Linked DNA regions of Lonchura striata. The protein of the gene in region 1 interacts with the protein of each later gene in a pairwise test. Links are inferred from orthologs where the notes say so. Each region holds a gene or a part of one and is shown in the gene's direction. Other genes may lie near its edges. The genes, in order: RBPMS, CCNK, RUSC1 and SERF2.

Region 1 (7,329 bases):
CTTCCCCAGTCTGGGGTCTGCCCTGACCCCAAAAATCAGGATTTGGGCCCTCTGATCAAACCATTCAAGTGCCTGGATGAGCCTCCATTCGCACTCCCCAGATGGGCTGGAGTCTGTTTCACTGCCCTGAGACTGCCCGGCTGGGGCTGGCTCCAAGTGGCAACAACGCGGGACTTGGAGCGCCCAGCAAAAAAACCAGAATTTTGTCTCCATTTCTGAGGGGGGGAATAAAAAAAAGCCTGATTTATTCTTTTCAGTATCCTAAAAAGGGCCAAAAGAGCCTGCTGCCCCCAAACACGGGCCTCGGTGTCTGTTTCTCAAGCACGAACACGCAGGACCCTCTCTGAAGCCCCAAACACGGGACTCGCTCTCCCTTTCCAGGCGCCTGGCTCAGCCGCGCCCCTTTCCCCGCCTGCCCCGGGATCCCGGCGTTCCCGGGTACCGGGGAGCGACGGGGCCGCGCGGTGGCGCCGCCGGGGCCGGGCCCGCCCGCGCCGCCCCGGAGCTCCGCCCCGCGCAGGCGCCGCCGGCCGCGGCCATGGCGGAGAAGGTGCAGAAGAGGTGAGTCCCGGTGCCCCCCTCGGTCCCTCCCGGTTCTCCCCCGATCCCTCCCACGAGCACCCCGGGAGGCGCCGTCCCCTCCCCGCACCTCGGCGCGGTCCCCGGGCGGGCCCGCCGTGACCGCGCCACCGCTCCCCGCAGCGTGAAGATCGCGCCGGGCGCCGTGGTGTGCGTGGAGAGCGAGATCCGCGGGGACGTGACCATCGGTAAGGGCCATGCCCCCCGCCCGGCCCGGCCCCGGCGGTGCGGGCGTGGGGTGACGCCGGGCTGTCCCCGCAGGGCCCCGCACCGTGATCCATCCCAAGGCCCGCATCATCGCCGAGGCGGGGCCCATCGTCATCGGAGAGGGGAACCTGATCGAGGAGCAGGCGCTCATCATCAACGGGTCCGTGGGACACCCGGTGGGGGTTTAAAAACCCTGGGGAGGTGGAGTTTATTAAAAAGGAAACCACCAAACTTCGTGCTTTTGTGTGGCACTATGGCTTGGGGAGAAGCCACAGAATCACAAATGTTCATTGTTTGAAGGGACCTTAAATATCATTTCATGCCACCCCCCTGCCATAGGCAGGGACACCTTCCACTATCCCAGGTTGCTCCAAACCCTGTCCAACCTGGCCTTGGACACCTCCAGGGTTGATGCAGCAAGTGTTACCTTGGGCAACCTATTCCAGTATCTCACCCCATCACAGTAAAAATTTTCTTATGTATATCTAACCTAATTTCCCCCTTTTTAAGTGTGTGCCCATTACTCCTTGTTCTGTCACTCCAGTTCCTGATAGAGTCCATCTCCAGCTTCCTTGCGGGCCCCCTTCAGATACTGGATGCTAAGTCCCCCTTCTGAATTCTTCTCAAGCTGACAGAGTAGAAGAATCCTAATCCTAAGCAGTCTCAAATTTCTGACAGTCCAGCTCAGCTGGATGGGATATTTGTGGCTTCAGTCTGTCACGAAGTTGAGCTGCCCCACAGAGCACTGTCATCATGATCTCAGATGTGGAAATCTGTTCTTCCCTCTTGCAGGTACCCAGAAAATATAACCCCAGAGAGCGAAGATGTGGAGCCCAAGCCCATGGTCATTGGCACCAACAATGTTTTTGAGGTCGGGTGCTGTATCCTCGCTGTGCAGTGACAAACCATCCAGCACACTGTGCTTCTGGATCCCTCCAGGGGGAGGCATCTCTGGGGATCTGTCAGGGTTCAGATAGCTCAGGGCTGGGTGGTGGTTTGAAAATGGCATCAGGGTTTTTCATCTGCTGAAAATAAGCAAAGCATTTTACAGTTTTACTTAACACAGACCTGTAGATTCCCAAGCGATGAAGGTAGGAGACAACAACGTCATTGAATCCAAAGGTAATTCTCAGCTTGGGGCCTTTGGCCCTGCTGAGATTCTTCTCCTATAAATGCTGTGGGAACAGCTCTCACAGGGACTCCTCTCTCTCCCTTCTCCCTGGCAGCGTTTGTTGGCAGGAACGTGATCCTGACGAGCGGCTGCATCATCGGGGCCTGCTGCAACGTGAACACCTACGAGGTGATCCCGGAGAACACCGTCATCTACGGGGCCGACTGCCTGCGGCGCGTGCAGACCGAGCGGCCACAGGTGCGTGGGGACACGCTGCCACCTCCTGTCCCCTCGGCCTGCTACCCTCTGGCTGTTCCCTCACCTCCCCTGCCTCCCTTTCCAGCCCCAGACGCTGCAGCTGGATTTCCTGATGAAGATCCTGCCCAACTACCACCACCTGAAGAAGACCATGAAGGCCGCGTCCACCCCTGTCAAGAGCTGAGCACTCACCTCATGCTGCCCGTGCCCAGCTGGGTGTTTGGTCCTGGGAAGCACTACACACTCCGGGAAGAGTCCGGTCGCCACATCCCTCATTCCATCAAACCATTTCTTCCTTGTTTGTGTCATTTCTTTTTCTTCCACTGGGATTCTCAGACCTGCTTCGAGTCTGTCGTCGCTCACGCGTTAGCTCTATTGTTTGTGCTTTTTTTCGGGAATAAAATGCCTCCAGTTCTGCTGTCCGAGGGAACCGCAGCCCTTTGAGTGTGCGGGGTGCGGTGCCCGGGTCGCACGGGCGCTGTCGGGGCGGGTGTCACCGCCGGGGACAGCCCGGTGCCACCTCCCCGCGCCGCCCCGTCGCGCCGGCAGGGGGCGGTGTGACCCCGCGCTCCCCGGGGGTCCCGGCCCCGCGTCCCGGATCCACGCGGGCCCCGGGGTGGGAAACACAGGTGGACATCCATGCAGCAGAAATTCCTGTAGGGAAGAGGGGATAGGATCAGCAGCTAACACAGAGAAACCCAGACTTCTGTGGGACATGAGGCTTTGGGTTCAGGTCGGGGGGTTCAAGGCAGGGAAGCGGGGCAATATCTGCTGGAGCAAATTGGATTTTCTCCCCAAGTCCAGCTTCATGGCTACAAAAAATCCAAACCTCCCCTTTTTCTGATTTGTGATTCCAACCTGGGTTCCAGCGCTGCTGGGCAGCTGCAGCTCTTCCCCAGAGCTGAGTCCAAATAAGGGTTGTGAGTATTGTCCCGTGCACTGTCCAAGCAGAGATTTTTGTCTAGATGCCTGTGGATGGGGAAAACAAAGAGATAAAACACATCTCTAAATTTCCCCCCTGCTGAAAATCTACCCCAAAAGCCAGAGGTTCCAGCAGATTTGGGTGACTAGATCAGTCCCTGTGCTCTAGATTCCCTCTAGGCTCAGCTGCCTTGTAGCCAGACACTTCCCGCTTCCCCAAATCCAGCTGGCACAGCTCATTTTCACCTCCTTCTGTCCTTTGAATCGCTGCCGCGGGGATGATGCAAACCTGTGGGTGGCCAGGCTGTGTCCCCTGGGCAGCCGGCAGGACAGACGGGCACCTGCCCCCAGGTCTGTTTCGGCTGGTGAGGCGCAGAAAGGCAGGCGGTGACCTTAAGGGCCCGTTGGGAAGGAGCCCTGTGCCCCGGGCAGGATGTCCTCGGCGTCACCTCCGGCCGAGCGCTGTGCCCGGGCAGCACCTGGGCTGACACAGCTGCTGCTCTCCACCCCGAGGGTCACAGCCGCCTCCCCGGGGCTCTGCAGGGCTGGAACGACCCAACACCGAGCTCTAGAACGAAGCGTACACGATGCCAGGTCCAGCGCAGGCTCAGCAAAAGCCTAGCCTAAGCATGAAGCCTAAGTGCAGTCCCCGGGCTGGGCAGGGAGGGGTTGAGCCCCCAGGTGGGGCCGGTTGGGGTGATGAGCTCCCGCTGGTCCTTCCACTGCCCCCAGCCCTGCACCGGGTCCCCTCCTCTGCCCCACAGCCGTAACACGTTCATGTCCCTGGGTCTGTGCACCATGTCCCCAACGTGCTGTCCTGTATCCTTAACCTTGCGTCCTGTGTCCCCAGCCTTGTCCCGTGTCCCCAGGACTGTGTCCCGTCTGCCCAGCCCTGTCCTACACCCCCAGCCCGTGTCCCATGTCCCTGAGACTGTGTCCATCTCCCCATTCTTGTGCCCCATGTCCCCAGCCTTGTATCCGGTATCCCCTACGTCCTAGACTGTCTTCTATGTCTCCAGGACTGCCCTGAATTCCCAACTCCGTGTCCTGTGGCCCCACATGGCACTGTGTCCCATGTCCCTAGCCCTGTGTCCCGCGTTCGCATCGCCCACCTCCCGTATCCCGGCGCTCCTCCATCCCCCCGCGGCCCGGTCCGTCCCCGCCGCTCCGCCGCGCCCCCGCCCCGTCCCTCCCCGGCCGCGCCGCCCCGCCCCGGCCCCCCCGCCGCCGCCGGGACCAGCCCCCAGCACCGCCCGCCCGGACGCGGCTGCCGCCGGCGGGACGAGGAGCCTGGCCGGTCGCACCATGAGCAGCGTCCCCGCCGACAGGGAGGGCGGCCCCGCCGACACCAGCCTGCCCGAGGAAGAGGTACCGGGGGGGACACGCACCGGGGATTTGGGGCGGAGGGGCTCCGGCTTCCCCCTCCCCACCCGCGATCCCCGGGAGCTGCGCTCCGCGGGTGCTCACGCACCGGGCTCCCGGTACCCGGGGCTGCTGCGGGGGGGACAGGGACGAGCGGCGGGAGCGCATCCCCGCTCCCCGGGACTCTCCCGTTCACCGCCGGCATCCCCCTGGGGCTCGCCGCAAACGCCCCTCCGCCTCGCCGGAGGAAACCTGCGGGCGCGGGGAGCCCCACGCGTGACACGGATCGCCCCGGGGGGCGTGAGGGATAAATCAGGCACTCCCCGGTCCCGCTGCCGGTGCCTGGTGCTGCCGGTGCCCGTGGGTACTGTGCATCCAGCGGCTGTGAATCTCTTTCCCATGAGTCTCACCCCAAAAATATCCGAAACGCTCCCATCCCCACGGGAGACCAACCCCACACCCCGTCACGGTGAGTGCTGGTTTGCTTCATTCCAGCCGCAAAGTTCCTGGTTTTGCCCGTGACCTTGAGATGGGAATTTGGACTTTGCCAGGGTGAGAGCGGGAAGATTCCGATCGGAGATCTCCTCCTCCTTACCCTCCACCCGGCTGGGCTGCTCCAGCAGGTCCCTGCTGGGCTCCCTGGTTGGTGGCCAACGCTGGGATCAATCACCGCAGTTCCATCGCCCGCTGCCGCCTGCCTTCATTTGCTTATTCCAGAGGTGGTTCTGGCTTCAAACTTCCCAAAGTTTCCTAAAAAACGTGGAGTTTTTTTCCACTGGTGGCCTGGCGGACTGTGTGGGAGATGATGCTGCGGCTCTGGTGGGCATGGCATGGGTGACACCCATGGAGGCCTGTTGCCTTTTCCAAAAGCATGGCCTTTTCCAAACCCATGCCGGCAAAAGGCAGCCCTCGCTCTGCTCCCGGCCAGATCCGCAGGGCCGGGGGCTGACTGTCGCCCAGGGGAACCCCCTGACCCGGTGATGCCGGACATGGGGAACACCCGGACGGGACGGCTGGGAGGTGCCAGGGACACGCACAGAGCCGAGGACACACGAGGAGGGCGATGCCCGCTCCTGCCTGCAAGCCGCGCTGCTCCGGTGCCAGGCAGGTATTTTCCTGGCAGGACTTGTTCCAGCCCAGGCTGGAGAAGCCGGTGCTGTCTATTTGCTCAAGCGCAGGGAAAGGGGTTACTCAGCTACTGTGGTGCCTCACCTCCCCACTCCCAGGGCTTGCCTGCAGCCTCCTGTTCCCTCAGAAAAGAGGGAGAAGCAGCCCCCATGCCGGGGAGGTCAGTCGGGGTGCTGCCAGGTGGGAAAAGCCCCCGCTTCATGCCCGCTCCTCCCGCCTGCTCCTGGCGCCCGGGTGGCTTCCCCGTCCCTCTCGCCTGTCCCCCCCGGGAAGGACACCCCCCGTGCAGGGGAGCTGTGGGCCAGGGGCTTCCCCACGTAGGAGCCAGAACAATTTGGGAAGGCGGTCACGTCACTTTGGCCGGGCGAGAACGGCATGTAAAAGGCTCGGCGGAGGCCTTATTTGGTAGCGGAGTGGCTGCGGAGAGCCCGGCTCGTGGCCCTCGTCCCCATCCCATGCCAGATCCCTCATCCCGGGGGAGCCGTGCCATGGGGAGGGGACCCCAGGGATGCTTTCTAGGGGGAACGTGTCCAGCGAGTGGATAAAATCTGTCCCCGTGGCCCCTGCGTTGCATCCCCCCGCGCTCCTGCTTCCTTTCCTCCTTGAAGCGTGGGGTCCGGAGGGTTTGGGAGCAAGCTCCAGGCGGGACAGGGACGAGTGTGACCCGCGCCTGATCCCGCCGCTCCTCCGCTCTGTTGCAATCCCCCATCTGCTCCCTTGGCTGCTCACTGCCTTTTCCTCTGCCGCTTCCTCGTTCCAGCCCCGGCAGCTCTGGACTCGCTTTTCCCCAAGGGCTGTTCCTCTCCTCCCGTCCTTCACCGGACGTGCGAGAACCGTGATTTTCCAGCAGAGCGGCTGCGGGTGGCGAGGCCGGAGATCTAGCCCGGTCCTCCCGTATCTCCCGGGCGGAGAAGCCGGCATCCCTCGGCCTCAGCCTTGTTTATGTCGGGGAGTTTTGCGGGCTGAAGGCATGCGTACACACAGCCCGGGAATCTAAACCCAGCCGAGGAAGACGCTGCATTAGCCAAGAGATTATTTATGCCTGGACTAATCCCGGCGGGGTGGGGATGCACCCCGCTTTGCCGGGAACGGGAGGGGAAGCCCTGCTCACACGGAGGGTTGCACGGCTCGGTGGCAGCCCCGTGCCATCGCCCTCCCGCTGCCGCCGGGATCCGGTGCCTCCCCGGCGGCGGGCAGTCAAGCGGATAATCGGCTGGTGGAGAATTAAAGCGAGCCCCGCTGGAAGGGGCGCACGGAAGGACGGACGAGGGATGGGAGCTGGGCTGAAGGAGGCGATTAAATGCCTCGTGGATGAATCACCCGGACGCCTCCCGCCTTCCCAGGGCCTGTTTAACGTTTACCGGGGGTGGTTTGGGCAGGACAGGGCGGGACAGGACAGGACAGAGGACCGGGACCATGCTGGCAGGACACTGCCACTGGGGCACCCGGCATCCCTCCGGGCACTGCCGTGTGATGGGGGTCCAAGCCAAGCAAATGCCCCCCCGGTACCTCCTTACCTGCAGGAGACAAACCTGGTAAGCTTGTGGCTTCATGTGAGGAAGAGGAGGAGGAGGGCTTCCATCACGGACCTCTCCATGCTGGGGTCATCCTTGATCCATGCTCTGGAAACCCCGGTCACCTCCTGGCCCAGATCTTTGCCTCTCCTGGCATGTCCTCAGCACTGACCATCTCGGCAAACCTCCACAGAGCCTTTCCAGTATCCCTTAAACTGGCCCAAGACAAGATGCAGGATTTCAGGGACA
Region 2 (7,188 bases), on another chromosome or scaffold:
TTTTGATTCCTAATAGGATATTAGCAGCTACATTCTCAGCAACATGTCTTTTCCTTTATTTCTGCTTTATGTATTACCTACACCTGGCCAACTTGAGAGCCTGTGAACACCAGTACTGGAGATAAAACTGATCTCAAGCACAGTCATTCACATCTCTGCCTGATGCAGCCCAGGTTAGACACACAGGTGGAAGCCTCCTGCAGTGACAGGTCTGCTGCTCTGGCCTGGTCACAGAACCCAGAGCTGAAATGAAAGAATACAGCTCTAATTCTTCCTTATTTCAAAGAAAGGAAAAGGATTAACAGACTACCTGAACAGGATGGGAAGTGGTAAAGGAAGGGCAAGGATAGATGGAGCAACTGGAATAGTCATTTGTTAGAAGAGAAGCAATCAAGAGGCAATGTAGGGCAGAGCAGCTAAAAACAGAAAAAGGGAGCAAAGAAGGTTAAAGCAGAGGAAGGGCAAGACCAAAAATGCAAAGCAATATTAAAATACACTTGGGCATGAAGTCACCTCTTAACTGCTACAAACACAAGCCTAGCTCCAAATACACACGACTAAGACCAGACAACACTAATGGACCATTTTTATGGAGCAATGAAGTACTCCTGCAGTACTTTTAGTTTTGAGACATTCTTTCTCATATTTTACATAACAGCCTAAGTTAAAAACACTATTAGTCACCTAAAGCGAAATCTAGGAATCTGAAGTGTCTCCAACAAGTTCTTTGGCAAAGGACGGTCAGAATCAAATGATTCCCTTTACTATAGAAAGCTGTACCACCACAGGTGTGTCAACCACAAGCACAAGCCTAAAGCATTTGGAAAAGAGGAAAGACTGAACCACTGCTGTATGCACTGCACACATCTACTCTGCAAAGAACAAACTGCTAATCCCATTACAGTGTAAGGTTAAGGAAAGAACAATGGTGATAGTGGTGACTGTGATACTGGGAAGAAGCCAATCTACAGAATAATATCAAAAGAAGCCACTAAAGTTAGCTAAATATTTACTTGATACACTTAAAAAACCACCAAGTACAACAAATTTAGCTAAGTATTGGGAATCAAATTCCAAAAGATGTTTATTCTTAGAATCAAAGAAAACATGCCTTGATAGTATTCCGATTACAAATGCTTGAGGTAGCACTAATCTACTAAAAAAGGAAGTCCTGTCATTTTGACATTATCTCCCTCCCCACCCAGTTGAACCTAGCTACATACTAAGCACAAGACTGCCTCATGCATTAAATATAAACTTCTGGTAAGAAATTATTAATTTGAAGGTAGCACAAAATGCTGAAGGGCAAAAAAAAAAGTCCATATCCAACAGAACAGCTCAAAAAAGTATGTATTTCTTAATTCACTTTTATCAGCTTGCTAATTTGGAACTATTACATTATTTACCACAGGTTTGTCCCTATACCCCTTGGCCTTCCATTAAAGCTTTCTTAAGCAGATGAAGTAATTCTTACTATCAACACCTGCCTGATCTTTCTAGGGAAGATAGTTATCTATCCACAGGAAACAAGCTCTTAACTCCTTTGTCTGTCTCTTGAATCAGATCCTCAGACAGCTATTTGACCAGAAAAAAAAAAAACAAACTTACTCTTTAAAGAAAATAAGCTGATAAACTCTACCAATTTACCAACCCACTTTTGTAATTTTATTTCTTTGCCTGAATTTTGCTCCTCCTGAAGACTCCCACAAACTTCTTTTCCTAATTCCTTTAGAGCAGAATTAATTAAAAACCCTTATGTACTGTCTTTACCCGCATGTTCCTAAATAATGTTCTTAATTTAGAAAATATTAACCTCACTTTATATAATATAACTCCTAACTGAGAGTAAAGCAAGCCACCCTGACTTCAGCCATCAGTAAGGCAGACTTAACAGAACCACCCAGGCCTCCAAAAGCTTAAGCCACAGGCATCATGAGGTCTCATGCACTGAGCCCTATGACAGCCCACTAGAAAAGATACAGATCCCTTAAGACTTCCAGTACTCTTAAAGTACCTCTTTTTGGTTGTTTTTTTTTTTTGAAAGAGGAACCACTGAAATACTCACTTGCTGAGAAGTACACAGTTTATCAAATTAACTACATAACCAGCACCACTATGACCAAGAATTACATAGATACAGTAGATATGTCAAAATAAATTTATTATAATTAAAACATCATCAAGATGTACACTTTTCCATACAGAGAGGCATAAAACAGCCTATTTTTGATTTCTGTACCATACTGAAATCAGAATTCTATTTCAAGGCATGTCTGACTTCAGCAACAGATCAGGCCATCTCTGGAAATAGCGATATACAGATTACAAACTATTTTGGAGTTTGTGGCATTTCTTCCCCCAACAGCCTAAATCTATTTCTCAGCACACAACATCAAAAATGTGTTTTCAACTCTACTGCAGTGTATACTTCAATCCCTGCTAAACATAACTGAAAACTACTAAGGCACAAGCCAGCATGCTTGAATCTCTACCATATTAAGTTACTTAATTGAGCAAAAATATCAGGAAGCCACCCCCGCCTTTGAGTCCATCATGCCTTTCCTTCCCACAACTTGTACACTGGCTTACTATTTTGTACCAGGAACCTGATAGTGGACATACAGAATGCCACAGTTGTTTTCTACTCACCTATGGGATTACAACAACTGAAAGCAGAAAGCACTTGCCAGACATTAAGCTAACATTGTAGCAATTTTCAGAGAACAAAGCTGTCACTTGAATGTACAGGTGCCTTCATTACATGCTCTTAGAAGGGACAAAGACAATCTACTTTCAGCTTGATCTCAGGAGCCAGTTTAGGTTCCAAAGACAAGCCCATCTAGAAGAGCAGATACCAAGCTTGGGGCAAGAGCAGCTTTGAACCATGAGGGACAACTTCCAAAACTGAGGTTATTCTGATAGCTGAATGTAGGGTAAAAAAATTTAGGAATTTGCTAAGAACTGAAGGCAAAGCACAGCCTCAGCTCAAGCAACTCTAATGAAGTGTTGCTGGGTAAGAAAGAAGAAGAAGGGTTCACGGGACAGGCAGCTGCTGTAGCAATAGGGGAAGGCTGAAATACCGAGGCTGTTTCAGGAGTAACACCCCTGTCAATAAACATTTACGATTTATTCTAATTTTAACTCCTCTCTCTCTTTTTCTTCCAAAGATTTAACTCTGCTTCAGCAGGCTGCAGACGGGGTGAGAAAGGAAAGAAACCAGAGCACTCTTCTCCAGCCAGAGGAGGGCTCAGAGGAGCCACACACCCGCAGAGACGCCCCTGAGCCAGACCCCGGGAGCTGGGGCATGGGAAAATGAAGTAGGAGCAGGGAGGATTCAAACCGTATCACATATTAAAAAAAATAAAAATCTAATTACATCACGAGGAAAGCAGTTTTAAGCCATTTGCTTTACTCTCGTTTCTATCAGGGTCTGGAGGGGGGATGGGGCAAGGCAAAACGCCGGTGCCGCCGCCTCGCTCACTGGAGACCCGCGCAGGCCGGGCTGGAGCGAGCCCGGCCCGCCCCAGGCGGCCCCGGGGGACGCGCCGGGAGAGGGAAAGGCCGGGCCGAGCCTGGCGGAGGCTGCGGCTCGCAGGGGAAGGAGGCCCGGACTGGCCCCGCACCGGCCACGCGGGGCAAGGCAGGGGCGGCGAGGCCCGGCGGGAGGGGGTGTCCGGAAAGAGCGGCGCCTCCTCCGGGGAAGGAGGAGGCGGCGGAGCGGGGCGAGCTCGCGCCGCCCGGAGGGTCGAGAGGAAGGGCCCGTGCTGCAGCAGGGGAGGGGGCGCGGCGGCCCCGCCTTACCTCCCGGCACGACCGCTCCCGCCTGGCCCGAGCGAGCGGCGCTCCCGAGCCCGCGCCGCCGCCGCTGCCCGCGGTGGGGAGGCGGAGCTCCGCCCGCCCCCGCCCCCTCTGCGCGCCCTGCCGCCATTGGCCGAGCTGCCGCCCGCCAGCAGGCCCCGCCCCTCCCTCAGGCAGAGCAGCGCTCCCATTGGCTGTCATTCAATCCCTGCTGGCCCGCCTTCAGGTTTCTATTGGTCCCTGCGCTCGCAATCTTCCCCTTTACCGTTCCGATTGGTCCGCCCCCAGGGTACGGCAGCCCGGCCCAGCAGCGGCTGACGGAGCGGGCATTTGGGCGGGAGGTAGCGGGAGCGCCGCCGCTTCCCATTGGCGGGGCCGCCGTGCTCGCGCGCTGCGCCCTTGCGACGTGATGGCGCACGCGCGGCCTGGCCTGGCTCCCAAGATGGCGGCGCGCAGGCCGCGCTGTCGCTGAGGGCCCCGCGCTCCGGTGCGCTCCCGCTGCCGCAGCCCTGTGAGTGCGCGGGGCCCGCCCGGGCCGCCCGCCGGCCACCGCCGCCGCCTGGGGAACGGGGGAAGGGAGCGCGGAGGCCGGGGGTAGGGAGCGAGCGCCTCCCCGGGCACCGGCAGCCCCGTGTAGGGCGGGCGGGTGGGTCTGAGGCGGTGTGAGCATCCCCGGCCGCGTTGGGGCAGCGGGGGCGGAGCTGTGGTCGGTGCGTTCGTCTCGGGTAAGGTATGAAAAAGCCGCGATCGAGCTCTGGAGTTCTTCTCCAGTTTCATGGGGTGCTTAAAAAGGCAGGGAAAAGTTATTATTTCCGGGCGTTGCGGTCTCTGGATTGGGACGTTTAACATGGTTCATTTAAGGTGCTTGCGGGTGATAATTTTCATTCCTGGTTCCGTATTCGGAAATGCGTTTGGGCTTTTATAGAAAAAGATCTTACCGCTTCAGGCGCTTTTAGTGTTAACTGATTTTTAAACGCTTTAGAAGTTAGAAAGTAAAATATCTGGTAAGGAAGAAGGGTCGTTGCAGTTATAAAAGCAGCTTTCTAGTAAATATGATGAGAATGTGTGCTTGTGGCCTGGCGCGCTTTCGTTGAGTCTGGAAATAGTTTTTAGTAGCCATTTACTTTTTCTTGTGCCAGAATTTAGATCTGTCTGTGACCGATACCACGAGTTGTGAAGGTGATTCCAAAACCACCGTGAGGCAAAGACAGTTTCGTTTATTCTGAAAAAGAGACTTTTTGAAGGTGAGCGAGGTGCTGATTGTAGGCATCGTTCTGTGGCTGTTCACGGGATCTTCCTTCCGTTTTCGGAAGGGAAACGTCTCGATAAGTAATAACTGATTTTAAGAGTTTTAAGTTTGGGTCTTACTGTGACTGTCTTGCTTAGAGCGAATATATTGCATCATATATTAATGTCTGTCTGTTATGCAAACCTTTGCAGGTGACTGCAGTAATCTGGGAATAGTATCTGTAGTTAGTTGAGTTGGAGTAAGAGCAGTTTTGTGCCTGTAAGAAAAAAAAAGCACTCTTTAAGCTGAGGCATGGCTGAACGTCTGTCATAATTCAATCACCAAAAAGGTGCCTGCAGAACTTTGTGATCTGCATCTGTGTACACAAAGTGCTGGTAAACAGGGGCAAGTAGGAGACTCTTGGGGTGTATTTGGTTGCCTTGTTTGGGGGATGATTTTAAATGCTGCCTTGCTCTATAAACTCACGTTGTCTTAATCTAGGTATGTGAAAGAACACTGACACACTTTTTTTCTTTAAGTAGTAAAAGTACAGATCACTTTACAAAGCTTCTGCCAAGTGGTTGCTGCCCGCAATATCCCTGGGAGCAGGCAGGTATTTAAGAGGCCGTTCAGGCTCGCCTCACCGGTGCCTTTCCTAATTACCAATAGTCATCTAATCGCCCTAACTTTCCACATCTTTCTGCAGCCGTCACTGAATTGTTTTTTCCTAGTTTTACGGACAAAGTAGATGGTAGTTGTTCTACTAAGAAATAGCAATATTGTTGGAGATCTATTCTTGAAGTTTCCTTATTAAACAGGTAACAGCAAGGATAACCTATTACTTTTTCTGATTGTATTTGCAAAATATGGAGAGGATAAAGGCAAAGTTCTTTATTACTTGTCTTTGAGCATAGGAACAAGTTCTTTCCAACAGGCAAGGCTAAGCACTATTCTTTTTTTACTCCTCTTTGAGGAGGAACTTCAGAAGGTAGTTCTCTCTATTTTTAAAGAATTCCTTTTTTGTTTTCTTCAAGGTCCTGAAGTGACTCTCTGAAGACTTCGTTTTTGAAAATTTAAAAAGCAGAGACAATTCTGTTTTAATAAATGAAGGAGAATAAAGAAAATTCCAGCCCTTCTGTGAACTTGGCAAACCTGGACCATACAAAGCCATGCTGGTACTGGGATAAGAAAGATTTGGCACACACACCATCACAGCTTGAAGGGCTTGATCCAGCTACAGAGGCACGATACCGCAGGGAAGGGGCCAGATTCATATTCGACGTGGGAACACGTTTAGGGCTGTATCCTTTACACATTGTTGGTATGAAATGTCTCTATGAATAGTGAGTTTTCAGAATAAAATACACAAGAAATGTGACATGCTCAGCTGATCAGATTTTTAATTGCTAATTAAAAATATATGTGTGTTGAAGTGCCTTTCAATATAATGTGTTCCTACACCATTTCTATCCATTCATTGCATAAACAGGGTTCCAGTTTGTTGAAGAGAAGTAAGATGATACAAACTTTCCAATTAAGAGTAACATCTGTGAGTTATGAAACTCAGTATTTCACTATATGAATCTGCATGGCTTCTCAAATTTTGAATTTTTCCCTCCTTTTTCTAAATTGTTAGAATCTGGCCTTTGAGGCTCTAACCTCTGCCTCCCCAGTCTTGGTCTCTGGTGGCTGTTTTTTTGTTTCATGGTTTGGGATTTACAACTTTGTGTATAAGTTCTCCCCATTGTCCCACTCCCTCATAGACAGCCACTTAAATTTTCTGCTTTCTATATTCCTATGCTTCCTTTAAACTCCTTAGTTCTTTCTTTAATAATGCATGGTGAAGACTAAACTTCTATTTGTCTTAAAGTGAAGAATACGGAGCATGTTCAGATTTTATTTGCATTTGTAGGTTTGAATAGTAACTTTCCTCCATGCCAGCACTTGAATGTGAAGCGATAATTGTTCTGTTCCTTCGTGTACCTACTGCTGGATTTGTCCTTCTCTGAGGCAGCTATGGTGCAACACAGGAGTCACCTTATGTGCATCCTCTTGGAAATACAGTCAGCACTTTGCATACTTACAATAAATGCTTTCGATATCAGCTGCATCTGGGCCTGATCATAGTATTTACACAGCTTTAAGGGCTTTTGTGGCTTTTT
Region 3 (7,340 bases), on another chromosome or scaffold:
CACCAACAAAGAAGATGTCAAGAGTGTGTAAACCTTTGCCTAAGCTGCTGAGCAAACCACAGCAGCCCAAAAAGACAAATCTTTTAGGGAACTTACAAATAAACAACCATAAAACCAAACAACGGGAAGCATAAATTAGGGGGGAAAAAAAGTTTTTCCACCGCACAAAGCCACCCCACAGTCAACACCCGGGGGTTTTACCCATCTTTGATCCAACCTCTCGCAGTTCCAAGCCTTTTTCCTGGTGGCTGACGACATCATGGACGCGTCGCTGACCCGCCGGGGGCAGCTCTGCTGGTACAAGAAGGTGAGAGCGTCCCTGTTCCCATCTTGGGGGGGTGTCCCCTGCGGGTCAGGAGGGTTTGGGACACCTCCCTCCCCTCCCTGGTGCAGGAGGGGATCGGGCTGGATGCCATCAATGATGCTTTTCTGCTGGAGTCCTCGGTGTACCGGCTGCTGAGGAGGTACTGCGGGCAGCAGCCCTACTACCTGCACCTGCTGGAGCTCTTCCTGCAGGTGAGCCCGGCTCCCCAAAACCCCTTCCTGATTTTTTTGGGGGGTCTGAGCCTTCACGTCGGACCTTTTCTGATGTGGGTCTCGGAGTGCTCCTTGCATTGCTGGCCGTCCTGCTGGATGCACCCTGGCAAAAGCCAAAGAGGAGCTGAACAAGAGGAGTTTGGGGTCTGCACTGTGCTGTGCTGGGGCTTTCCTGGAGGGTTCTGTGAATAAATCATGGAATCGCTGCTTTGGGTTGGATGGGACCTTAAAGAGCATCTTGTTCCACTCCCCTGCCACGGGAACACCTCCCAGCTTGCTCCAACCTGGCTTTGGACACTTCCAGGGGCACCCACAGCTTCTCTGGGCGCAGGAATTCCTTCCCAATATCAACATCATTGATCCAGCATAGCCACCAGCCTTTATCTTCTTATTCTCCCCGTTCAAAACATCCTCCTCCCTCTTTTTTACACCCCTCTGAAGCACTGCAAAGCCACAGGGGGGCCGCAGATCCTTTCTTTCCTCTCCAGACAGGCTACCAGACCGAGCTGGGGCAGACCCTGGACCTCATCACTGCTCCAGTCTCCCAGGTGGACCTGAGCAGGTTCAGCGAGCAGCGGTACGGGGGGGCAGAGGCAGAGCCCGGGGCTGGTTTTTGGGGAGCAGCCCGGTCCCTTCCCAGCTCTGCTGAGCCTGGGGCTGGTTTTTGGGGTTTTGGGGAGCCCTTCTGTCCCCAAGGGTGGCAGAGGCAGGGCTTGGTCCCTTCCTGGCTCTGCTGAGCCTGGGATCGGTTTTTGGGGAGCAGCCCGGTCCTTTCCTGGCTCTGCTGAGCCTGGGGCTGGTTTTTGGGGAGCAGCTGAGCCTGGGGCTGGTTTTTGGGGAGCAGCTGAGCCTGGGGTCAGTTTTTGGGGAGCAGCTGAGCCTGGGGTTGGATTCTGGGGAGCAGCCTGGTCCTTTCCTGGCTCTGATGAGCCTGGGACTGGTTTTTGGGGAGCACCTTCTGTCCCCAAGGGTGGCAGAGGCAGAGCTTGGTCCCTTCCTGGCTCTTCTGAGCCTGGGGCTGGTTTTTGGGGAGCAGCTGAGCCTGGGGTTGGATTTTGGGGAGCAGCCCGGTCCTTTCCTGGCTCTGCTGAGCCTGGGGTCGGTTTTTGGGGAGCAGCTCAGTTCCTTCCTGGCTCTGCTGAGCCTGGGGCTGGTTTTTGGGGAGCAGCTGAGCCTGGGACTGGTTTTTGGGGAGCAGCTGAGCCTGGAGTCAGTTTTTGGGGAGCAGCTGAGCCTGGGGTTGGATTCTGGGGAGCAGCTCGGTTCCTTCCTGGCTCTGATGAGCCTGGGGCTGGTTTTTGGGGAGCAGCTCGGTCCCTTCCTGGCTCTGCTGAGCCTGGGGTTGGTTTTTGGGGAGCAGCTGAGCCTGGGGCTGGTTTTTGGGGTTTTGGGGAGCCCTTGTGTCCCCGAGGGGGGCGGAGGTGGCCTCGGGGCTCAGCCTGCTCCCTCTGGCACAGGTACAAGGCCATTGTGAAGTACAAGACGGCGTTTTACTCCTTCTACCTGCCCGTGGCCGCAGCCATGTACATGGTGAGTCTGCTGGGACGGCAGGTCCTGGAAGGCGTGAGCCCCAGGTCCTGGAAGGCTTTACTGCATCCCCAGGTCCTGGAAGGCTTTACTTCATCCTCAGGTCCTGGAAGCCTTAATCCCCAGGTCCAGGAAGGCTTTACTGCATCCCCAGGTCCTGGAAGGCTTTACTTCATCCCCAGGTCCTGGAAGGATTTACTTTATCCCCAGGTCCAGGAAGGCTTCATCCTCAGGTCCTGGAAGGCTTGATCCCCAGGTCCTGGAAGGATTTATCCCCAGGTCCTGGAAGGCTTTGCTTTATCCCCAGGTCCTGGGAGGCTAGGCTTTATCCCAGGTTCTGGAAGGTTTTACTTTTTCCAAGGTCCTGGAAGGTTTAGCTTCAACCCCAGGTCCTGGAAGGCTTGATCCTCAGGTCCTGGAAGGTTTTACTTTATCCCAGGTCCTGGAAGGCTTTATCTGTAGTCCTGGAAGGTTTTTTTATCCCTGTTATTCCTCCCCTCCCCTCAGGCAGGCATTGACAGTAAAGAGGAGCACGAGAACGCCAAAGCCATCCTGCTGGAGATGGGAGAGTTCTTCCAGATCCAGGTAGGAGCTGCCTCAGCACCCCTGGGTGCTTGCCCGGCGCTGGCTGGTGGCACTCAGGCGTCGTCACTGTCACCCAGGACGATTTCCTGGACTGCTACGGGGACCCAGCCCTGACGGGGAAGGTTGGCACCGACATCCAGGACAACAAGTGCAGCTGGCTGGTGGTGGAGTGTCTGCGCCGGGCCACGCCGGAGCAGAGGCAGATCCTGGAGGTAAAATCCTGGATCCCTCACCTGGGAGAGGGGCTGGAGAAGCCTGGGTGTACACCTGGAGTGCCAGGCGCTGCTACCTGGCTGGGAGGAGGGGGGTGAGCATGAGGAAGAGAGAACAAAGCTCCGCGCCGTGAGCTGGGACTCACTCCAGCGTTTTCTCAGGAAAACTACGGCTCGAAGGAGCCCGAGAAGGTGGCCAGGGTGAAGGAGCTCTACAATGCGCTGGGCATGGAGGCGGCTTTCCGGGAGTACGAGGAGAGCAGCTACCGGCGCCTGCAGGAGCTGATCGGGAAGCACGCCCAGCGCCTGCCCGCGGAAATCTTCCTGGACCTCGCACAGAAGATCTACAAGCGGCAGAAGTGATGGAGGGGCTGGCAGGGGGCTGGGCTCCGGCACGGACCGCCCGGAGCGGCTCCCTGCCCTGGGAAGGGTCGCGGCGGGTTGGAGAAGGTGCGATGGGGTGGCCGGGCTGGGGTTCAGCCGTCTCCCCCCCCACCCCCGGCCGTGTGTGAATAAACATAAATTATTGTAGCCGCGGCGCTGCCTGCTGTGGTCTGGGGACAGGGAGGGAGGGCGGGACCCCTCCCGTGCTTTCCGGGCTGGGGGGATGCCCGGAGCGCCGCCTCCGCCGGCGGGGCGGGACCGGGCGGCTCCCGGTGCGGCGGCGGCGGGGCCGCGGCTCCTCCCTCCCTCCCGCAGCCGCATTCGCCGCCGCAGCGCCGAGGTGAGCGGGGGACGGGAGGAAGGGGATGGAGCCGGGAGGGGGATGAAGAGGGCCGCGCCCAGGAGGGCCGCTCCCGCTGCCTGGCTGCCGGTCCTCGCCCTGCGCCCGGGGGATGCTCGGAACCGGGGGATGCTCGGGGCCGGGGGGTGCTCGGGGCCGGGGGATGCTCGGGGCCGGGGGGTGCTCGGAGCCTGCGGATGCTCGGAGCCTGCGGATGCTCGGGGCCGGGGGGTGCTCGGGGCTGGGGAATGCTCAGAGCCTGCGGATGCTCGGAGCCTGCGGATGCTCGGGGCCGGGGGGTGCTCGGAGCCGGGGGATGCTCGGGGCCGGGGGGTGCTCGGGGCCGGGGGATGCTCGGAGCCGGGGGGTGCTCGGGGCTGGGGAATGCTCGGAGCCGCCCTCCCGCGGTCTCCCGTTCCCTGCCCAGAGCCTCCAGCAGGTAGCCGGGGCCGGGGCTCCCCATCCCCCCCGGTAAGGCCAGGCCCGGTGGTGCGGTGGCGGCTCCGCAGCGGCTCCCAGGACCGGGGGATTCCAGCCAAGCCTTGGTCCCTGAGCACCCGTGGTGCCACCGCCCCCAGCCAGGGCAGCATCCTCCCCCGGCCCCCCCGTCTCGACGAGGCTCCAAGGGCGTTTTCTCCTTGGCGGCATCCCCGAGATGCTCCCGATGCTCCGGAGGGAATCCAGCCCCGGAGCAGCCCAGCTTGCTGGGATCATTCCCAGGCCACGCTCCATGGAGCAGCGGCTGGTTTCGGCCCCTGCCCGGCCGCAGAGCCCCAAGCCCGGCAGGAAGGTGTGGGGCAGCCCCTCCCTCAGGGCACATCCCCATGGCTAACCCCCAGACCCATTGCTGCGAGGTCACTGCCATCCCTCTTCCCCCGGCTGTGCCTCTCTCCAGGTTTGTCCCGCTGGGTTCTTCCTCGGCCAGGAGGGTGTTTGGTGCTTGCAGGGAGCTGGATGGTGTGAAGAGAGGAGCTGCTGGCCTTTCCTGGGAGCCCTGGCACTTCCAGCGAGGAGGCAGCGCCATGCTGGCTCCAAAGAAAGGCCTCCTGTGCAACCTCAACCACATCCACCTGCAGCACATCTCCCTGGGGCTGCACCTCTCCCGGCACCCCGAGCTCCAGGATGCTTCCACGGCCGGGGGAGAGCAGACCGGCTGCACCCAGTGCCCGGAGAACCGGGAGCCGGTGGATGCCAATTCCAACAATCCCTCGGTGAAATGCCGCTGCTGTGAGTCCCACGCTCCGGAGCTGGAGACGCTCGGGCTCCAGAACCAAGAGGATTTCCCCTGCCTGCACAGCGGAGACGAGGAGGAGGCGGCTTCCCCTTGTGATCCCCCTTGTGATCTGGCTTCTTCCTCCTCCTCCTCCTCCTCCTCTGTCAGTAGCTGCTCGGATTTCAGCTTGGATGAATCCCCGGTCTCGGTGTACTGCAAGGAGTTCGCCAGAGCAGAGTCCCAATCTCCTGACAAGCAGCTGAACGTCATTCCCACAGAAAACGCCTGGCATGGAGAGTCTCTGGCTGATGGAGAGAGTCTGCCTGACCAGGAGAGGACGTGCCATGGGAGAGATGCCAACCACAACTCCCCGGTGTCCCTGCGAGCCACCGCCGTGGCCAGCAAGAGCCCGGACAGCCTCTGCAGCAACAACTCGCTCGACTCCCACTGCGACGAGCTCTCTCCCAGCGCAGCAGCAGCAGCAGCACAGGACACCGCCGGCACCTGCCCTGACCTAGACCCCAACTGCAACCCCCTCCCCGAGCCCGGTGCCGCGCCCCCAGCACCGCCGCCTGTGCCGGAGCGGCGGGACCCCGGCATCCCGAGCGGCGCTCCGGAGCCGCGGCCCCGGCCCGGCGGCCTCCCCCCGCCGGTGCCCCCTCGTCCCCGGCGGCGGCTGCAGGTCCTCAACGCGCACAGAGCGGAGCAGCCGCCGGAGCCCCGGGCCGGGCCCGGTGAGCTCTGCCGAGACACGGGCGCCAAGACCATCACCTCCTTCCACGAGCTGGCCCAGAGGAGGAAGAGGAACGCGGCCGGAACGCTCGCCCAGGCCAGGGTTGACCGCAGTGACTGGCTGATCGTGTTCTCGCCTGACACGGAGCTGCCCCCCACCAGCGAGCTGCTCGCCGGCACCGCGGGCCGGGAGCCAGCCCGGCCTCCGCCCCAGCCCCAGCCGCAGCCCCGGCAGGACGGGCCGGCCGGGCCTCCCGGCTCCGGGCAGCGCGAGGTGACGACGTTCAAGGAGCTGCGGTCCCGCAGTACCGCCCGGCAGCCCAAGGGCCAGCGGGCAGAGCCGGGCCAGCGCCCCGCTGTGCCCGCGGGGACGGGCGCGGGCCCGCAGCCCGTGCCGGCACCCAGCGACCAGCTGAGGAGGAGACCCCGGCCGAGCCTGCAGCCCATCGCGGAGGGGCAGCCGAGGGATGTGGAGAAGGGGGAAAAGGGGCTGGGCACCGCCCCGCTCCGGAGGCTCGGGGGTCCCGCCGGGGACCCCGCGGTGCCGCGGGCGGCTCCGGGAGGAGACGAGACCCGCACGGGGGGTGAGTCTGGGTCCCTCCGGGGCTCTGCCGGGGGGCTGCGGGGCCGAGCGGTGGCAGCGATCCCGGGGTGCGGAGAACCGGGGCTTCCCCCGCATCGCGCGGCCCGGGACGCGGCGGGGCTGTCCCGGTGCCGCTCCGCCCCGCGCTTCCTCCGCCGCCCGGCCCGGCCCCGTGAATCCATGAGCCGCAGCGAGCCGGGCCCCGCCGCCGGCCCCGCTCCTCCGCCGGCCCCGGGCGCCGCCGCCCCGCCTGACCCCGCCGCCCCGCTCTCTGCAGCCAGCCCCGAGCCGCTCGCCGCCGGAGCCGCCGCCGGAGCCGCCGCCGGAGCCGCCCGGCCCGGCGGGGGAAGAGCGGAAGGGCCGCACGGCGAGCAAACCAAAGGTTGGGGCAAGTTCTCCTCCGCGGAGCCTCCGCGGGGAACGGGAGGGGAGGAGCGGGCAGCGGGACCCGCAGCGTGCCCCGTTCAGGCCGTTCCCCTCGGGGGGTGCGAGCGGCTCGTCCCGGGCCGGGTCGGTGTCCTGGGGCACGGACAGTGCGGGCCGGGATGGGCAGCGCTGCTGCGCCGGGCGCGCTGCCGCTGGTCCGGGAGAGCGCGGCACAAACCCGCCGAGCGTGCCCCGAGCTGCGGCCCTGGCACAGCCCCGGGCCCGCCCGGTCCTTCCTGGGCGCTGACCCTTCTCTGCTCCTCCTCTCCCGCTGTCCCCAGCGCTGCTGGTGGCCGTCAGCTCTGCTGTGGACAAGGTCATCGCCCACTTCAGCACCGCGCGGAACCTGGTGCAGAAGGTGAGAGCTGGGCTGGAAGGATTTTGGGATGCCCTCATCGCTCCCAAGGGTCGCGTGCTGCCCTGCCCTTCCCTCCCCTCTCCTTGTGCCTGCCCCAGGCCCAGCTGGGGGACAGCCGGCTCAACCCCGACGTGGGCTACCTGCTGCTGCACACCCTCTGCCCTGCGCTCTACGCCTTGGTGGAGGACGGGCTGAAGCCCTTCCAGAAGGATGTTATCACGGGCCAGAGGAAAAATTCCCCCTGGAGCGTGGTGGAAGCCTCTGTGAAAACAGGTGAGGGCGAGGCTGGGGGCATCCCCAGGTGCCCGGCGTGCTGCTGTGCCCTGGGCAGTGGCTGTCTGTGCTCTTCTGCACCCCACAGGCCCCAGCACCCGCTCCCTGCACTCCCTGTGCTGGCACGTGGCCGGGCTGGCCCCGCTCAGCAGCGCCAGGCAGAAGTTCCA
Region 4 (5,235 bases), on another chromosome or scaffold:
CACAGGTAGGCCAGGGCCAAGGGTGTTTGTTACAGTCAAGTGCTTGGCTGTGGTGAGAGCGAATACAACCAGTTAACTATTCCTTCTCACGCTGAGAAACAGGCTGGTAGCTGTGGGTCTCTCTTCAGGAGGATAGGAGTAGACCATGTGGTGTGGGCTGTGACTGACCATCTGAGGGTGTTCCGCTTTCCTTTGGGGAAGGGCGGGAAAGAGATGGGCGGACCAGGTAGGAGCTGTTGTCCTGATTCTGTGTTCCTTTACTAAATGCAAGTTGAAGTGAGGGTCAGCACACTCAAAGTATTGCTTCATGGCAGCAGGTAATATGGCAAGAACCAGAGCTTGCTTTCTCTGTGGCTTCCTCCCCCACAGCTCAAAGCCCAGGTGGTGCTGGAGTTTTCCAAATACAGTAGCTCATGCAAGGCTTAGGCTGTACTTCTTTGACTACAGTAACTGCAGTACAATTTCTTTTGCAGCTCCATTAGCATCTCAAACCACATTTCCCTTTTGTGCTCTGCTGCTGTGGTAGCTGCTCTGCCCCTAATGCATGCGGGTGTCTAGGCACCTTTGGAGGAGCATGTGATGTCCAGTGGTCCCTGCACAGACTGGCAGGAGCCCTGCACCTGTCTGTCTGGAGCACTCTTGCAAGGAAAAGGAACACAGCAAGCTCCCCTGACAGCTGGCAATTACCCATGTTACACCAGACTGGAATGCTGCTTCCTTGCTGGGCAGGACAGTGCTCTCCATCAAGCCAAGGAGAGCTAGGGACGTGGTTCTAATCCTGGCTTTGCTCCCTGCTCTGTGACTGTTGACCTGGTGGCAGCTGGGGCACTGAACACAGGTAAAACTCTTCAGCATGTTTGGCCCAGGGCATCACTGCTGGTGCTCAGAGCAGCCTGGGTGAAGTTGGCACAGGCCTAGGGAAACTTTCTGGCAGAAGGGACAGAGGATGAGGAAGGGTTGTGGTGGTGGCTGCCTAGATAACCCTCACTATGCTACAACTGCATTGAAGGAATAAGGTTCAATTGAGGAGAAACAGGCATCTGATGAAGGATTTGTATATTTGATGCCTGGAACACTTGGCAAACAGGGTGGCTACAGACCTTGCTTGCAGTGAGACCTGCATGGAGAGCTGGCCCTGGGTAAGGGGGAAGCCACCACCTAAAGTAACACATTCCCCGAGTTGGCTCAGGCTTTAGCAAAAGATCGGGTCTTTGTTTCTGGTTCTCCCCATGCAGCCATGGCCCTCCACGGAGCTGGGAATGAGCTAGCCCCAGGTGTTTCAGAGCTGGAGCAGTTGGCGCTCCTTCAAAGACAGGTCTGGATGAGCAAGGAAAAAACTGCAGCAACAGTTTGCTTGGGAGGACTCGCTTCTTGCAGAATTAGGCTTTTGCTATGAGACAGCTTTGGATGGAGGCATTCAAAGTGATTCTTACGCTGGTAGCTGGGATAAGCCAGAGACTCGGCCCACAGCCTCGGTACCGGAGACGCCGGGCCGCGGCATTGCCTGGAACGCGCGACAGCAGCGGGCGGGGCGGGCGGCGGGAGCCCCGTGGCGGGGCTCGCCCTGGCCCAGCTATTTTTGCCGCCGACCCGGACTAATCCCCTGAGCTGCTTCCCGGCATTAGGTAACGGCGCGGCGGCATGCGCTCCGCGGTGTCCCCGGCCCGGGCAACCCCCGGCAGTCGCGGCGCGGCGGGACGGGCGGCGACACGCCCGGTGCGGGCTGGGGGCCGTGGGCACCCGCCGCCGAACCCCGCGTGGGCCCGGACCGAGGCCAGCAGGTAGCGGCGGGTGGCGAGGGGGGCCGGGGGCGGACATGCCGGGCCCGTCGCCCGGCGGCTCTCCGGAGAGGGAAACGGGGGCCGGCGAGCGGCCGCGGAGGCCTGGCCGGGACCGGCGGGTGCGGTTCCGGCTGCCTCACACCGCCATCGCGGTGCCGTCGGTGCGCGAGGAGGAGCAGCTCTTCTACCGGCGGCTGGAGGCGCTGGCAGTGCCGGGGCCCGGCGGCTTCGGGCCGCTCTTCGCTTCCGACAGTTGGAGCGACTTGACGGGTGAGTGCCGACGGGCCTCAGGGCCAGCCCAGGCCGGGACCGGACAGAGTGGAGCAAGGAATGCCAATTTCGGGACTCCCGGCTTGGCTCTTAGCGCCTCCTCCCTCGCAGAGGACCGGCTGCTGCGGAAACGCGTGGTGCGGGCCGGGCTGGGCGGGCCGCGGCCGCTGCCGGGCCAAGAGGTGTCCGTGAAGCTGCTGGGCGCCCTGGAGGACGGCGGGCTGGTGGAGCGGGACCCGCGGCTCATCTTCGTGCCGGGTCACGGGGACGTCGTGCAGGTGAGCCCGAACCGGTGCGCGGTTCAGTGCCGTGCGAGCTCAGCGCCGCCGTGGGCCCCGACCCGCCAGCCCCACCGTGCCCGTCCACAGGCTCTGGAGCTGGGCGTCCCCACCATGCAGCCCGGGGAGGTTTCCTTCTTCCTCGCCGCTTTCCCCTACGCCTATGGCCGCCCGGGCAGGTAAGGCGAGCGGGCAGGGGGCGGGAGGGCAGACGGACCGGGGCGGGCAGGCAAGAGGGACGGGCGAGGACAGGACCAGAGCCGGTGGCGCCGGCAGGGCAGGGGTCGCGGGCAGCCGGCGCTGTACCAGCAGGGAGCCCGACGTGCCGCCCGAGGCGCCGCTGCTGTTCGAGGTGACGCTGCTGGAGGTGCGGGACGGCCCCGACCCGCAGCCGCTGCTACCCGCCGTCCGTCTGCGCCTGGGCTCGCAGCGCAGGGAGCGGGGCAACTTCCACTTCGCGCGGGGTGACTTCGCCGCGGCGCTGCGATCGTACCGGCTGTCCCTGCGTGCCCTAGACGGCCCCGCCGCCGGTGAGACCGGACGGAAGGGAGGGCCCGGGGCTGTGGAGCTGGGGCGCTGAGGCCGCAACTCGCCCCGCAGCTCCGCCCGGGCCCGAGGAGGAAGAGGAGCTGCGGGAGCAGCGTGTGAAGTGCCTCAACAACTGCGCGGCTGCCGAGCTGAAGCTGGGGCGGACGGAAGAGGCGCTGGCGGCCTGCGAGGCGGCCCTGCGGATCAGCCCCGACAACGGTCGGGCGTTGGTCCGGCGCGGGCAGGTGGGACTCGCATCGTTCCGCATCGCCCCGCTCCCCTAGGCCCAGTCGTCCAGCTACCGTCCGCTCCTCTCCCCGCAGCTTCTGGCAGAGCAGGGGCGGGACGCAGAGGCGGCGCTCGTCCTGAGGAGAGCCCTGGAGCTGGACCCGGCCAGCAAGGTGTGGGAGGCGGGGTGCGAGGGCGGGCGGTGGTCCTACGGCACCTGGTACTTGAAGCGACGGGGAGGAAGAGGATCCTACAGCATTTGGTGGGTCGGGTGTCCCACCGCAGCCGCACCTCGTCCGTAGGTGATCCACACCGAGCTCTCACGGCTGGCGAAGCGCCAGAGCCCTCCATCCGGTACCGGCCCGCAGAATCCCCGCCACGACCCGATACCGCCGCCGAGCCCCGCGTGCGTAGGCGAATTGGGCTGTGCAGGGACGGATGCCCGTCCCGCACCCTCTTGGCGCGCATAGCGCTTATAGCCGTCCCTCCCTGTAGATCCCCCGCACCGCCCTCGGCGGAAGGAGAGATCTGAGCGGCCCCGCAGCGTCTCAGAGCCTGACCGAAGAGATAGAGGAGTTCTCATACCGTCCTCCCCACATCGCCCCGCACTCCCGCGGGAGGAGAAGAAATCTGCGTGGGGAGGGCTGAGGGAGGGGCGGGACGGCGCCGGCCCCGTCCCGCACCGCCCGCACCGCTCTCCCAGCCTGGCAGCGCTCCCGCACGCCTCGTGACGTCACGGCGGGGGGCGGTCCCCCCGCGCTCCGCATCCTGTCGCGCGGAGGCGGCTGCGGCGCGTGCGCCGAACCTTCCGGCTTTTTCGCCCCCGCCGGCAGCAGGGAGGCCATAGCCCGCGGCCAATCAGGCGGGGCCTTGCCGCAGAGACGCGCCAATGGGAGTGCAGCGGGGGGTGGATCGGCGCAATGATTGGCTGTGGCGTCCCTTAAAGCGCGGGGCGGGGCGGGGCGCGGGGGGGGTCAGTGCGGGACGTGGCGGTGGAGTGGAGGTGGGAGGGAGCGGCGCCATGACCCGTGAGTTGGGGGGAAGGAAGGAAAGGGGGCTGGGGCTGACAGGTGTCGTGGGAGGCTGTTCTGGGACCCGGGAGTGCGGCGGGGCCGGGGTCAGGGGCCACGCCGTGATGCGCCGGCGGGCGGTGGTCGGGCCGGGGTATGGGGGGTGGCCGGTACGCGGGGCCGGGCTGCGCTGAGGTGGCCGCGCTGTGGCAGGCGGGAACCAGCGCGAACTGGCGCGGCAGAAGAACCTGAAGAAGCAGAGCGACTCGGGCAAGGGCAAGCGGCGGGACGACGGGCTCTCGGCTGCCGCCCGCAAGCAGAGGTGAGCGCCGGGCCGGCCCGCCGGCTTCCCCTGCCCCGCTCCCTGCTCCCGCCCCGCGGTGGTGCCGGCCCCGCCGCCAGCCTCGCCGCGCTCCCCGCAGGGACTCGGAGATCATGCAGCAGAAGCAGAAGAAGGCCAACGAGAAGAAGGAGGGCAACAAGTAGCGGGCGGCCGCGCCGGGCTGCCGCCCCAGGGCCGGTCCCGCCGGCAGGATGCCCCGCGCCGCCCCAGGCCGGGTCCCGCCGGGACCTCCGGCATCGCCCCGCGCCCGGTGGCGCCGTCCCCTATTAAAGTAGCTGTGGAGCCCTGCACGCTGCGTCTGCTCGTCCGTGCGCCGGGCGGGGGGTGGGTGAGCACGGCTATTGGCGGAGCAATCGCGGCCGCGGGGAGTCAAGCGGCGGCATCTCGACGGCGAGGAACAAAGGTGGGGTCGGACCTGGGCGGCCCTTGGGGCAGCACCCGGGGATCAGCGGGGGCTGAAGGCCGAGCGCCCCGGGGCGGAGGGAGAGCGGGGAGCCTGGAGCAGCGGAGCTGGACGGCGTGGCGCCGCAGCGGGCCGGGGCGCAGCCGGGGCTCCGGGCCGGCCGGAGGGCGGCGGTGGAGAGATGGCGGCCGGGCCTGCGCACCGGGGGAGGGCCGCGCTGCGGCACGGCCGGGGCGGGCCTAGCCGCAGCTGCCCGGCCGGCGGCGGCGACATCCGGCCCAGTGCCGAGGCCGGTGCCCGTCGGCCTTTTCACCTCCCTGCAGGGCCCTAGCAGTGGCATCAGCCCGATCCGACAGCACAGCGGCGGCTCCCGCGGCAGCCTGGGCTCCTCACC

The links.
Region 2: the proteins of RBPMS (region 1) and CCNK interact in binary tests that used the Homo sapiens proteins (3 or more experiments, as listed by UniProt). The two-hybrid records come from large-scale screens. The link is inferred for Lonchura striata from reciprocal best matches to the Homo sapiens genes RBPMS and CCNK.
Region 3: the proteins of RBPMS (region 1) and RUSC1 interact in binary tests that used the Homo sapiens proteins (3 or more experiments, as listed by UniProt). The two-hybrid records come from large-scale screens. The link is inferred for Lonchura striata from reciprocal best matches to the Homo sapiens genes RBPMS and RUSC1.
Region 4: the proteins of RBPMS (region 1) and SERF2 interact in a two-hybrid assay, tested with the Homo sapiens proteins (2 studies listed by BioGRID and IntAct). The two-hybrid records come from large-scale screens. The link is inferred for Lonchura striata from reciprocal best matches to the Homo sapiens genes RBPMS and SERF2.

The regions. Positions count from the first base shown.
Region 1 is NC_134606.1:72,057,210-72,064,538, forward strand, and holds the start of RBPMS (RNA-binding protein with multiple splicing), read left to right. Parts: upstream 1-4,313; 5' UTR 4,314-4,381; coding exon 4,382-4,444; intron 4,445-7,329. Other genes in the region: DCTN6 (dynactin subunit 6), read left to right, coding at 539-561, 703-767, 841-946, 1,579-1,667, 1,861-1,908, 2,013-2,155, 2,241-2,339.
Region 2 is NC_134608.1:12,582,838-12,590,025, reverse strand, and holds the start of CCNK (cyclin-K), read left to right. Parts: upstream 1-4,177; 5' UTR 4,178-4,309; exon of another isoform or gene 4,310-4,392; intron 4,393-4,443; exon of another isoform or gene 4,444-4,578; intron 4,579-4,937; 5' UTR 4,938-5,042; intron 5,043-6,060; 5' UTR 6,061-6,130; coding exon 6,131-6,327; intron 6,328-7,188. UniProt on the Homo sapiens protein: Regulatory subunit of cyclin-dependent kinases that mediates activation of target kinases.
Region 3 is NC_134635.1:1,835,204-1,842,543, forward strand, and holds the start of RUSC1 (AP-4 complex accessory subunit RUSC1), read left to right. Parts: upstream 1-4,328; 5' UTR 4,329-4,409; coding exon 4,410-6,114; intron 6,115-6,390; coding exon 6,391-6,495; intron 6,496-6,820; coding exon 6,821-6,897; intron 6,898-6,995; coding exon 6,996-7,170; intron 7,171-7,258; coding exon 7,259-7,340. Other genes in the region: FDPS (farnesyl pyrophosphate synthase), read left to right, coding at 227-307, 394-516, 1,026-1,114, 1,995-2,067, 2,572-2,649, 2,727-2,861, 3,024-3,224. UniProt on the Homo sapiens protein: Associates with the adapter-like complex 4 (AP-4) and may therefore play a role in vesicular trafficking of proteins at the trans-Golgi network. Signaling adapter which plays a role in neuronal differentiation.
Region 4 is NC_134613.1:24,446,467-24,451,701, reverse strand, and holds SERF2 (small EDRK-rich factor 2), read left to right. Parts: upstream 1-4,042; 5' UTR 4,043-4,106; coding exon 4,107-4,113; intron 4,114-4,308; coding exon 4,309-4,417; intron 4,418-4,517; coding exon 4,518-4,581; 3' UTR 4,582-4,728; downstream 4,729-5,235. Other genes in the region: peptidyl-prolyl cis-trans isomerase FKBP8-like, read left to right, coding at 1,817-2,051, 2,163-2,508, 2,642-2,859, 2,930-3,102, 3,181-3,258, 3,388-3,555. UniProt on the Homo sapiens protein: Positive regulator of amyloid protein aggregation and proteotoxicity. Induces conformational changes in amyloid proteins, such as HTT, driving them into compact formations preceding the formation of aggregates.